2 linked regions of the Drosophila melanogaster genome follow. The protein of the gene in region 2 interacts with the protein of the main gene of each other region in a pairwise test. Each region holds a gene or a part of one and is shown on either strand. Other genes may lie near its edges. The genes, in order: stck and ics.

The links.
Region 1: the proteins of ics (region 2) and stck interact in a two-hybrid assay, tested with the Drosophila melanogaster proteins (3 studies listed by BioGRID).

The regions. Positions count from the first base shown.
Region 1 is NT_033777.3:8,356,360-8,360,642, reverse strand, and holds stck (steamer duck), read right to left. Parts: upstream 2,316-4,283; 5' UTR 2,262-2,315; coding exon 2,239-2,261; intron 2,173-2,238; coding exon 2,053-2,172; intron 1,995-2,052; coding exon 1,689-1,994; intron 1,635-1,688; coding exon 1,493-1,634; intron 1,437-1,492; coding exon 1,178-1,436; intron 1,114-1,177; coding exon 917-1,113; 3' UTR 683-916; downstream 1-682. Other genes in the region: veneno, read left to right, coding at 1-79, 137-342, 397-548.
Region 2 is NT_033779.5:13,638,844-13,644,712, forward strand, and holds ics (icarus), read right to left. Parts: upstream 3,760-5,869; 5' UTR 3,177-3,759; intron 2,430-3,176; exon of another isoform or gene 2,428-2,429; 5' UTR 2,406-2,427; coding exon 2,267-2,405; intron 1,639-2,266; coding exon 1,017-1,638; intron 954-1,016; coding exon 863-953; 3' UTR 604-862; downstream 1-603.

The sequences.
Region 1 (4,283 bases), on a different chromosome or scaffold from region 2:
ACAGCACCTACGCCTCCGAATTTTCCGCCTTGCACTCTCGTTTATCAGAAATTACAGACTGCGAGCCTTATAAGCCAGTGTAACTATACTATAACCATACCAATGTAAGTTTATATTTAATTAACATTTTTGACAGTGTCAGGGAATATGTGCTTGCCAGATTTGAGGGTTCCTGGTATCGTGGCAAAGTGGAACAGATTATAGTTGTTCCACGGCAGCAGACAAAGTACCGGGTAATGTACCTCGATTACACGAATGTAGAGGACATAACCGAAATGGATATCCGTCGCTATCCATTAGACTTCACCGCTCCCTGTGCCACAAACCTTTGCGTGATTGACGGTATGGATATTAAACATTTGTCTTGAGCATAACATTTGAACAAACACTTTATAGAATTCCCGCACAACCCGAATGCAGCACAGGTTTCCTATCTGGCTGAGGTTTTGAAGGTCCATCAGTCAGTTCATATTGATAGTATCAAATATATCAACCATATAGCCGTAATTAAATCGGGAAGTCTTATTCAGAAGCTGTTGAGCTTGTAAATTTTAAGTGCATCAAATGCCATTTACTTGACACCACAACTAAATCGGGTCAAACACATTACGAAGTTATTGCGAATAAGCATTACGTTTTATAATTTTAAAAACATTTATATATAAATAAAATTCCATTAAATAACAACGTTAAAGGCTTTTAATACACAATGTTATGTTCCCTAGCTATTGATGCCGTTGATTCTCGATTTAAAATTTAAGTTACACACAACCGGATTACAACAGACGGAAAGGACATGCACAAGAGGTTTTAGTTTGTTTGGTTTTAGTTTCTCAAATGTTAAAAATGGTAGTGAAAGCGGGTCTACAACGACAAAGGCACTGTTTGGTGTGGATCTGAGACTCGCTCCAAGGCATTAGGTGTTCTTTTTCATTGTCATCTCGTGGGCGGTGCGCAGACGTCGTCTGAGTTCGTTTGGAAATCGGTCATAGCACTTTTTGCACACCGGCTTCTCGTCGTACTCGTAGAATTTCGATTTTTGTGTCATCTTCGTGTCGCACACGGAGCACGCAAAGTGGTGCACACACCAGGCCTTGTTCAAGGCAGTGAAAACTGTTGGCATTATGGAATGAGCGCATTAAATAAACCCAGAATATAGTTCAATTAAGTTACTCACCATCGCCTCCAATAACCTGGTTGCAGACGAAGCACAGGTTGCCAAAGAGCTGATGATAGTGCGTCTCGCAGTAGGCCAATCCCCGCTTCTCGTAGTGTCGGTGACCCAAGAAGGGTTTCTCGCACTTGGCGCACACGAAATGTTCCACATGCCAGTGCTTTCCGAGCGCCGTTACCACCCTCTCCTCAATCGGACGACGACAGGCACCACATATGGGAATGCCCATTTTATCGTGACAACGCAGACAATACAGTTCGTTCTATAATGGAATAATAATTCAGTTGCTTCTTATTTGCTAAAGAAAAAAAAACCCACCATATCGTTAGCAGCCAATCCTGGCCGGCTCTTGACCTCCCGAGCAGTGGAATCCAACTCTGTGCCGCAGGCCGTGCAACTGAAGTGATAGCCGTGGTACACTTCGCCCCGGAATCGCAAAGGCTCCTCGTCGATGAGGCCGCTGAAAAGCAGAGTAATTAGCAACATGTTTTCACCTAAAGCCTTTGAAACCTACTGGCATTTTTGGCATACATAGCGGCCGGTAATCTCCGCCTTCACCTTGGCATTGCACTCGTGACACAAGGCGCGGTTCTGGTTCTTGATGAATCCGCAATCAGCCAGCTCCTTGGCGCACAATTGGCAGCGGAAGCACTGTGGATGCCAGCTAGCTGACATGGCCTTGATGACCCGTCCGATGACGAACTCGCCGCACTTGTTGCAGCAGGGAGCGAAGAGCACGTGAAAGTCGCGTTCACAGTACTTACGGCCCTCGAACTCGTAGAATATCCCATCCTGGAAGGGTCGGAAGCACTGGGCACATCTAGAAAATGTTTATTAGTGAGGGTATTAGTGAAACAACTACATTGAGGTTTACTTACACGAAGCACTGGGTGTGCCAGAGTTCTCCATTGGAGTTAACAATCTTCTCAGTCGGCTCGAAGCCGTCGGCACATCGCGTACAATGCATGGCACCCAGCGACATGTTCGCTGCCTGGACTCTGTGAATTAAGAAGAAGATCAGGATCAGTTGTTGGTAAGTAACTAACCAATTCAGAGGCCATTACACTTCAGCCTTAGAGTACATCATGGTTATAGCTTGAGCGCAAAGAAAAACGACTTTAGGGCAGGGCGTGAAATGAGAAACTGGACAAAACAATGAGACTTATCGCTTGCCGGCTCTGTTGACGATGTCTGAATCATATTTCCTTCGAATGCACAGCCAAAAAGCTTTCTGGCATTCCGTGGAAGTTTAGCTTTCATTACAGAGAGTGTCGCATGGCAGTTGGATATCAAGCGTGATACGCTGCAGATGTGATGGCTTGGTGATATATCGTTTCGGAACAGGTTATATATACATATATAAAATATATACGAAGAACTATCATATTCGCTTTAAGCTGGATAACAATGAATGGCTATAATGAGTAATTGAAGTAATTATTACAAGCAGGAGCGCCATTTGAAAAGTTTGTATATAAACAATATATATAATAAGATGTAACTATCAACTCCCCATTACTGGTTGAGTCATTGAACATTCCTTGGCCTCCAAAAGGGGTTACAAATTCAAGCATCCAATTGGAATTGGGTTTGCCGCCAACACAACAGCGGCCCACTCATCATAATCAAATCCGACGAATACACACAAAAATACGAAGAGTAAACAATACACAGACACGCACTCTCGCACAAACACACACACACACTCGAGTGGCGGCGTTTAAAAATAAATTTGAATATGACCATGACGTCATCGATGGAGTAAACATCTGGCAGGAAAATTGCATTGAATGGGGGTCCAAAGCACCACCATCACTGGCAGAGGGTTAACGCTGGATTAGGGCATGAATGATAGGCACTGCTAGCCTGAATTAGTTATATTTTTTTATTAATTAGCGAAATGCTTATTTGTGCGAATGGATAACGATGATTATTATGCTGCCAAATGATGCAATATGTGGGCGTTTTGAAGACAAGGACGTTAAGAAAGTGGGGCGGAACATTCTGCTTACTGCACGGGCGGCATTCTGTGGGCTTTTCTTTTTTAGTTGCTTTCAACTGGTTTTCACTTGCGAACAACGGCACCTGTTGCACCTGGTGTACAACGTTTTCTGATCACGGCGAGTGAAACACTGCAAAAACATATAGAAATGATCAATCTGTGTCTTTTGGCTTTAAGCTCTGCTCGCTTGGCGGCCTTCTAGCCAGATCCGGTTGATTTTCAGCCAAGAAGACGATCTGCGCAGCGCTATCGCAGCACAAAAACAACAACACCTATATTGCCAAAATGGGCAAATCTCTGGAATTTCACGCGTTTCACTTAAGCATGTTCACATTTGAAGAATTGCATTCAACGGAAAAAGTACTTTTTACCTTCAGAGAAACCTTTTTAATTAAAGCCACAGTTTGCTGCAATTAAATTACTTTTCATTTAACTAACAGCTTCCGTGGAAAAAGACGCAGAAAAAACCACTCTACTTTATCACTAAAAAATCCCTGTACAACCTGCCTATCGATAGCTCTTCTGTTCTCGAGGCAGGTAGCCCTGAATGTCAATCGATAAACACCCAATACTACTGGGCGCCAATTTAAATTCGCTATTAGCCTATGTTACCGAAATACATCAGTTAAAAGAACTTTACGATTTAAGGCGCCACGCTTATCGCAGCGTGGCATTTTTGCTTCTTTGTCTCACCTTCTTATCAGCTGCTGGCCAACTGCTGTTCTTCTTCGAAACAGTTTCGTAACGCGCTCTTATCAGCTTACTGCCTCTACTTATAATTTCACGTACTATTTGTTTGTAAACAAGACCGGTTCGCATGCCAATTTAGGCTGCAGGCAAGAAATCCCTTTAGCATTGAATTTGATTGATTTTCTTTTTGCTATGTTACACGCCAATTGGGGAAATACATAAATAAATGTGCAGGGAAACTATAAAAGAATTCAATGCCACAAATGTCATAACAGTTTCGCTGATACTTATCATTAGAAAATATGTATTGATAAGAGAATCAAGAGCTTGTAAACTTGCTATGAAACCCACAATCACTATGAAATGAGTTTCTTTTTAAGCAACAAAAAGGAAAAGAAAAGTTTTACAGGTGTAAGT
Region 2 (5,869 bases):
TTTGAAACCCTTGTCTTCGTTTCCATTCGCACATCCAACTTGTATATCGTGACGCATAGCTATGGAATTATCTCAATTCGAATTTACAAGACGTTTCCGTGCTATCATTTTGGAGAAATTTACTGAATAAATGAATTTACATTTTTGTTTGTTTTTCTGCCAGACTTTTCGTAAAAGAACATCTTTAACTCTTGTAAATAAACTCTATAAAAAATATATAAATATAAATACTAAAATATACTTTAAGGAATAAATTAAATTTGAATTGCAGATACAGTGAAGGCGAAATACGTTTACAAAATAATTAAATAACATAAATTGATAAAAAAAAAATGTATTCAATTCAAATTGACAAGTGAAAAAATGCAAAGAAACGAAACAAACTCAAAGCGAACAAAGCAGAACTATGCTTTTAGTTTTTCTCAAACATAGAAAACAAAGAACAAAAACAAAAAACATTTAACTATTAATTTAATTAAAATAAATAAAGAATTAATTAATTGACTTTAAGTAAACTAATTAATTATGATTATGAACAAATTTCTTAAAAAAGAAGAATGAATATGAGAAAAGATAATAAAAACAAGAAAAACCTACTATTTTATAAAATATACAAGCGTGTCTTTATTTAACGATTCTTTTGCGCATAGGATCCGAAATTAAACCAGCAGGAATACATATATGCATCTATTATTTTGTTTTATTTTCATTAGTGAAACTAAGGGTCAAGGCACATTGCAGAAATACGCATTAGTTTAAAAGTACTTATAAATTAGTATACGAAAACGGGTTTGGTTAACAACGAACGAGACGAACACATTTGTAATTCCATGGGATCTTGGGATCTTCTGGTGGAGAATCACTATGCGCGAATTCGAGAGGCCTTCTTGCTTTTGTCAGCTTTGGGTGGCGGCGGTCCACTGCGTCCTGCTTGCAAGTGGCGGTTGTAGATGCTGTCAAGGAAAAGGATCAGATGAATATACATTTATGGATATATGGATCTATGGTGCACTCACATCTTATAGGTCTCCGTTTTGAGGTAGTCGATGACGTGACTAATGCCCAGCAGATATTGCTCGGCGATGGGATTGACCCAGGGATTCTCCTCCATCTTCATGACCGACTTGTTGCTCAGTAGGTCCAACTGGGCGATCTCTGGTGGCAGCACCTGCAGCCTATTGTTTTGAATATGTAGCTCCCGCAGTCGCACCAAATCCCCAACTTCGCGGGGCAATTCCAGAAGATCGTTGTCACGCAATCCGAGTATCTGCAGATTCTTCAGCTGACCCACCTCCTTCGGTATATACTCGAAGTCATTGTCGCCCAGATACAGAGCACGCAGTGTCTCCATACCAAAGAAATTACCAGGCAGGACCTGTTCGTTGAGATTGTTGTAGGACAGGTCGAGCACTTCCAGCACCGGAAAGGCTCCAAAGCCGCGAGGAAGATTTATCAGCCGATTGATGGACACATTGAGGATGCGTAGCTTTGGCATGGACGACAGCGAAACGGGCAGTTCGGTCAGCTGGTTGTTCGAGAGGTTCAGGATCTCCAGATTCAGTAGGTTCGCGATTCCCGGACTGATTACGCTGATCTTGTTGTGGGACAGGGTCAAGCGCGTGATGTTGGACATGTTGACTGCAAAAAAAATTATATTAATAAGAATACTAAACTCTTTAAAATACATATTTTTCCTTTTTCGTGATATCAAAGATTGTTTTTCATAATTGTCCAATGCACTGTGAATTCACCACTGGGTTTAAATGCAAACAGCTGATTGCAGGCAACAAGTATAGACGCCGAATGTTGGAGCGGGACAACAATATAAGCAGAGGCATGCGCAATGTTTTTTTTTTCTCAAAAATTTAATGGTTTTAAGATTAATAATTGTAGTATATTCTAATTTTATGTAAATGAAGTCATAGTTATGGAGTTGTAGTACATTTCCCAGATATGTATACACATCTTATTTGCGGTATTTACAGTGTTTGTTTACGTTCTCTACACTCAAACTTATGCATATTTTGCTGCTGGCGTCATCACAATAAATAAAACTAAGCGACTCCATTTAAAAAGATGCTTAGACTCATTTTAAATGAATATTATTACCACAACATAAATACATACGCTAGAATATTATTAATTTACAATTTTTTTAGCAGCTGGGCGAGGCTCCATTCTGCGTGGAAGTAACCCACCATTATGTTTACTCAGAAGTGCAAAAATCCGTATAATTCCTTCAAGATCCTTTGGTTTTGATACTTACACAGTCCGGGCAACTCCTCGAAGGACGACAGCCCCTTGTCGGCCAAATCCAACTCGGGATTGTGAGTTTCTCGGGCTTCATCCAAAACCTTCTTTGCCTTCGACATCTTTGCGCTCACTGGTATACAAGACTGACTCATTTTCGTTGATTCCTAATACGCCCTAAAAAATACCAGAACAAAATATACATTTCTAATTAATTATTTTGAAGGTTAGTCAATAAATTTTTATTTCTAAAAGCAGAATAGTAAAAGAATTTGGCAAACTAATTCTATGCTTTTTTAAATTTTGTAAGCAATTTTTTTGTAATGTGAGCTATTATATCTGTTATATGTATTTCAGGGCTGCCAGACAAGTAGAAATATGTAATTTTACATCGACAGGAAGCAATGTAAGATATTGTAAATGACTTAATCGAATAATAAGTATTGAGCTCATTTATTAAATAATATTTATATTTATATTATTTAAAAAAAAAGATGTTCATTATTCATTTGTATCTACTTATATATGAATGTGAAATCAAAGCTCACCAAACAATTGTTGATAAAAAGGTACCAACATAAATTTTACGCGCGTTCGATGTATGTTATCATATCTACATGTAGAAAGTGTGTTTACTTGTGATTGGTAAAAACTTAATTGTAACGTGTTTTATTTATTGAATTTATAATAACATGCATTCTTTAATAATATTGATATAATTTTGTTTATTTTTACTTTGCTCGATTAATGAAATATTCAAATGTCTTAAAGGACTTAACATTATTATTATGTATTATGTTAAATTATGTATTAATTTATGTATTAAATTAAAATATAAAATATTGTTGTAAAATGTATTTATTTTTATTTTTATATATTTTTCGTGTAGTTGGTCTAAAACTAAGTAATGAACCACAATTACTTACAGAGTAATTCTAAAACTGTTTTGGCAGCCACTTTCAGTAGCTCTCAAACTGCGCCAACTGCACTTTTTGTTAGCATATGTTTTTCTTCGGTCAGTTTTCAGCACTTTTCATCCACATGAAAACGAATTTAAACGTTTTTTAGGTCACTATGTTACACAAACACTGCACTTGACCTATTTTTGTAGGAAAACACCAAGGCTTTTCATACTGTATGCGTAAAATTGTTGAGTATCTGGACGAATTCGTACTGATTTCTGCAGATTATATGGCACTCACGTTACAGAATGGAACATGGGTTCCTATTAGAATACGTCTCCGCTCTTCGAAATTAATCACGAAAATAGACCCAAAGTGCGGAATGCGTCGTGCGTCGTCCGATCGTCTCGAGAAACTGAGAAGATCTCTCGCAGCGTCAGCAAGATCGATCGATGTGGATGTGGGCGAGTTGGAGGTGATGGGGGATCCGAATAATAGCTGGGGGCTGGTTTTTGCCTTTTTCGATTGTCGCCACTGCCGGCAGACAGGAAAAAATAAAAAACAAATCGAACCCAAACTCAATACCGGGTTTTGTTGATTTTGTTTAAAGTATTTCGCTTTTTCTCCAGCATCTTCACTACAGTGTCGAAACCAGTTTGAATTATATCGAAAAGACAAAAAACAGGCATAACTAAAGCATGAAATCTGTGGTTTGTCGACTTGGAAATAGGCGCTTTGTTGATTAGTTAATTACACAGTTGATTAATATCTTAAATGCAGCCATCTCGTTGACGCATATAAGATTTTAATATGATTTATCACATCTCCATGTGAAGTGAGACATCATGACTTTTTTCGCTATATTTTACGTTCTTGCCTTACTTCTGCTGCTCACACCATATACACATGAAAGTAAACTTCGATATATTAGTGAGTAAGGACACGACTTGGGATAGTAAATATAAAGCTAACCGTTGTAATAAGCTTGCAGGCGCAAAAGTGGAAAGTGGGGACGTTGCATTATAAAACAATCGCCATGTCCTGGCATTACCCATTTAAATCGCGTTTGCAATTCGGCAGCCATTTGCTGTGTGCCTGAATCTCAAAAAGTCTGGGACAATATAAGCTATTTTAAGCGCTTAGAACCGAAAGAAAACAATATAGAAACAGTAATAATAAAGTAAGTCTGTTTCTTATTACTTAGCCACTTAAGAATTTTATACCGTTATAAACTGAAAACTGCAGTGCAATAAGAAATGAGCTTAGAGCACATTTAATAAAATATCAATTCAATATAGTCATGTTGGCTTTTACCCTTTTTAATGCATTTTAGTTTAATTTTCTTTTCTTTTTTAATAGTTTTTATTAGAACTGCAAGCTGAGACATTTCTTCAATTTTATCTATTTGATGGATGCTAGATGCAAATTTTGAAGGGACTCAGATTTCTGGGCTGCAAACATGGCCGATATGATCTCCTTCAGTACAAGCTGCTCGGGGTTTTTCTGCTCTGGCCATTGGCTGTATTTTTAATTACTCTGCGGTGCTCCAGTTGCCGATGCAGTTTTGGATCTCAGAAATACGTAGGAACTAGATGTTTGTGTGGGTGGGGGGGCAACCCCGTTTTTTGGCTTTCGTATTAATTTTCATCCCGCCGGTTGTCGAATCCGCAAAACAGAAAGTTTGTCTTATGCGCCTGCATAATTTGCGTGTTGCACATACCATTTTTTTCGCTTTTTTTTTTTTTTTTTTGGGTTGGGGTAGTTGGCATGATGGCGAGTGCCTTTGCCGTATACACTTCCGCCGTATAAAATATGCAAAACAATGCAAACTCTCGCCTGGCCAGCAAACAACAACAACAACAAGAACAACAGCAACAGCAATGGGAGGGAAATAAAAACTTTCCCTGGCCCAAAAATTAATTTTTGTTTTAGATGGCGCGCAGATTTTTCGGCTGCATTTTTGGCTGCACTGCTAATGCTGCGGCACAGTCGCCACCAAACGACCGCCGGCCACTGTCCGTAATTTTTGTTTTAATTAACTTTTTGTTTGCCTTTTTTTCCTGCTGACAAACTTTTGCAGCTCGGCGCAAATTGTGCTAATTTTGAAATGGTGGCCAAAATGTTTGGAAATACATAGTTTATGCTCAGTTCCACTCATATTAATATATGATTGCAATTAAGGCATTGTATTGTATTGTGTAGCAAAATCAAAGCCTGAGAAGTGTCCTTTGTTAGGTAATCGATTCTTTCATAAAATTATATTGAACTTTGCAGTTCGATTTTCTATGTAAAATTCTAACCGCAATAGCGACCAAAAACCATAAATTCTTCATTGCCAAGCTCGCTTAAATTCCAAATTGGACATTTGGCGGCCATAAATTCGCATTAAGTGTTTACTTCGTTTAAATGTTATCCATGCCAATGTGCGAATGTGCGTAGGAGCGGCAAATAATCGATCCGGATTCTAGTTAATTGATGGCACTTGCCTGCCCTCACTAATTTGTGTCCCTTTCTCACGGAATTGAACGACCACAGTTCGAAAGAGTTGTCGGCTGATTGAATAGCTTCAAGTGGGCTTAAAGTGGACCGAATAATTCGATCCGACTGTTGGCAACAGAAATATAACATCCTCTCTTATGGAGCTGTCAGCACACGGACATGGGCGCATACTTTTGGCCGGCAGTGTCCGGCCGTTGGGCGCTTACTATATTCCTGGC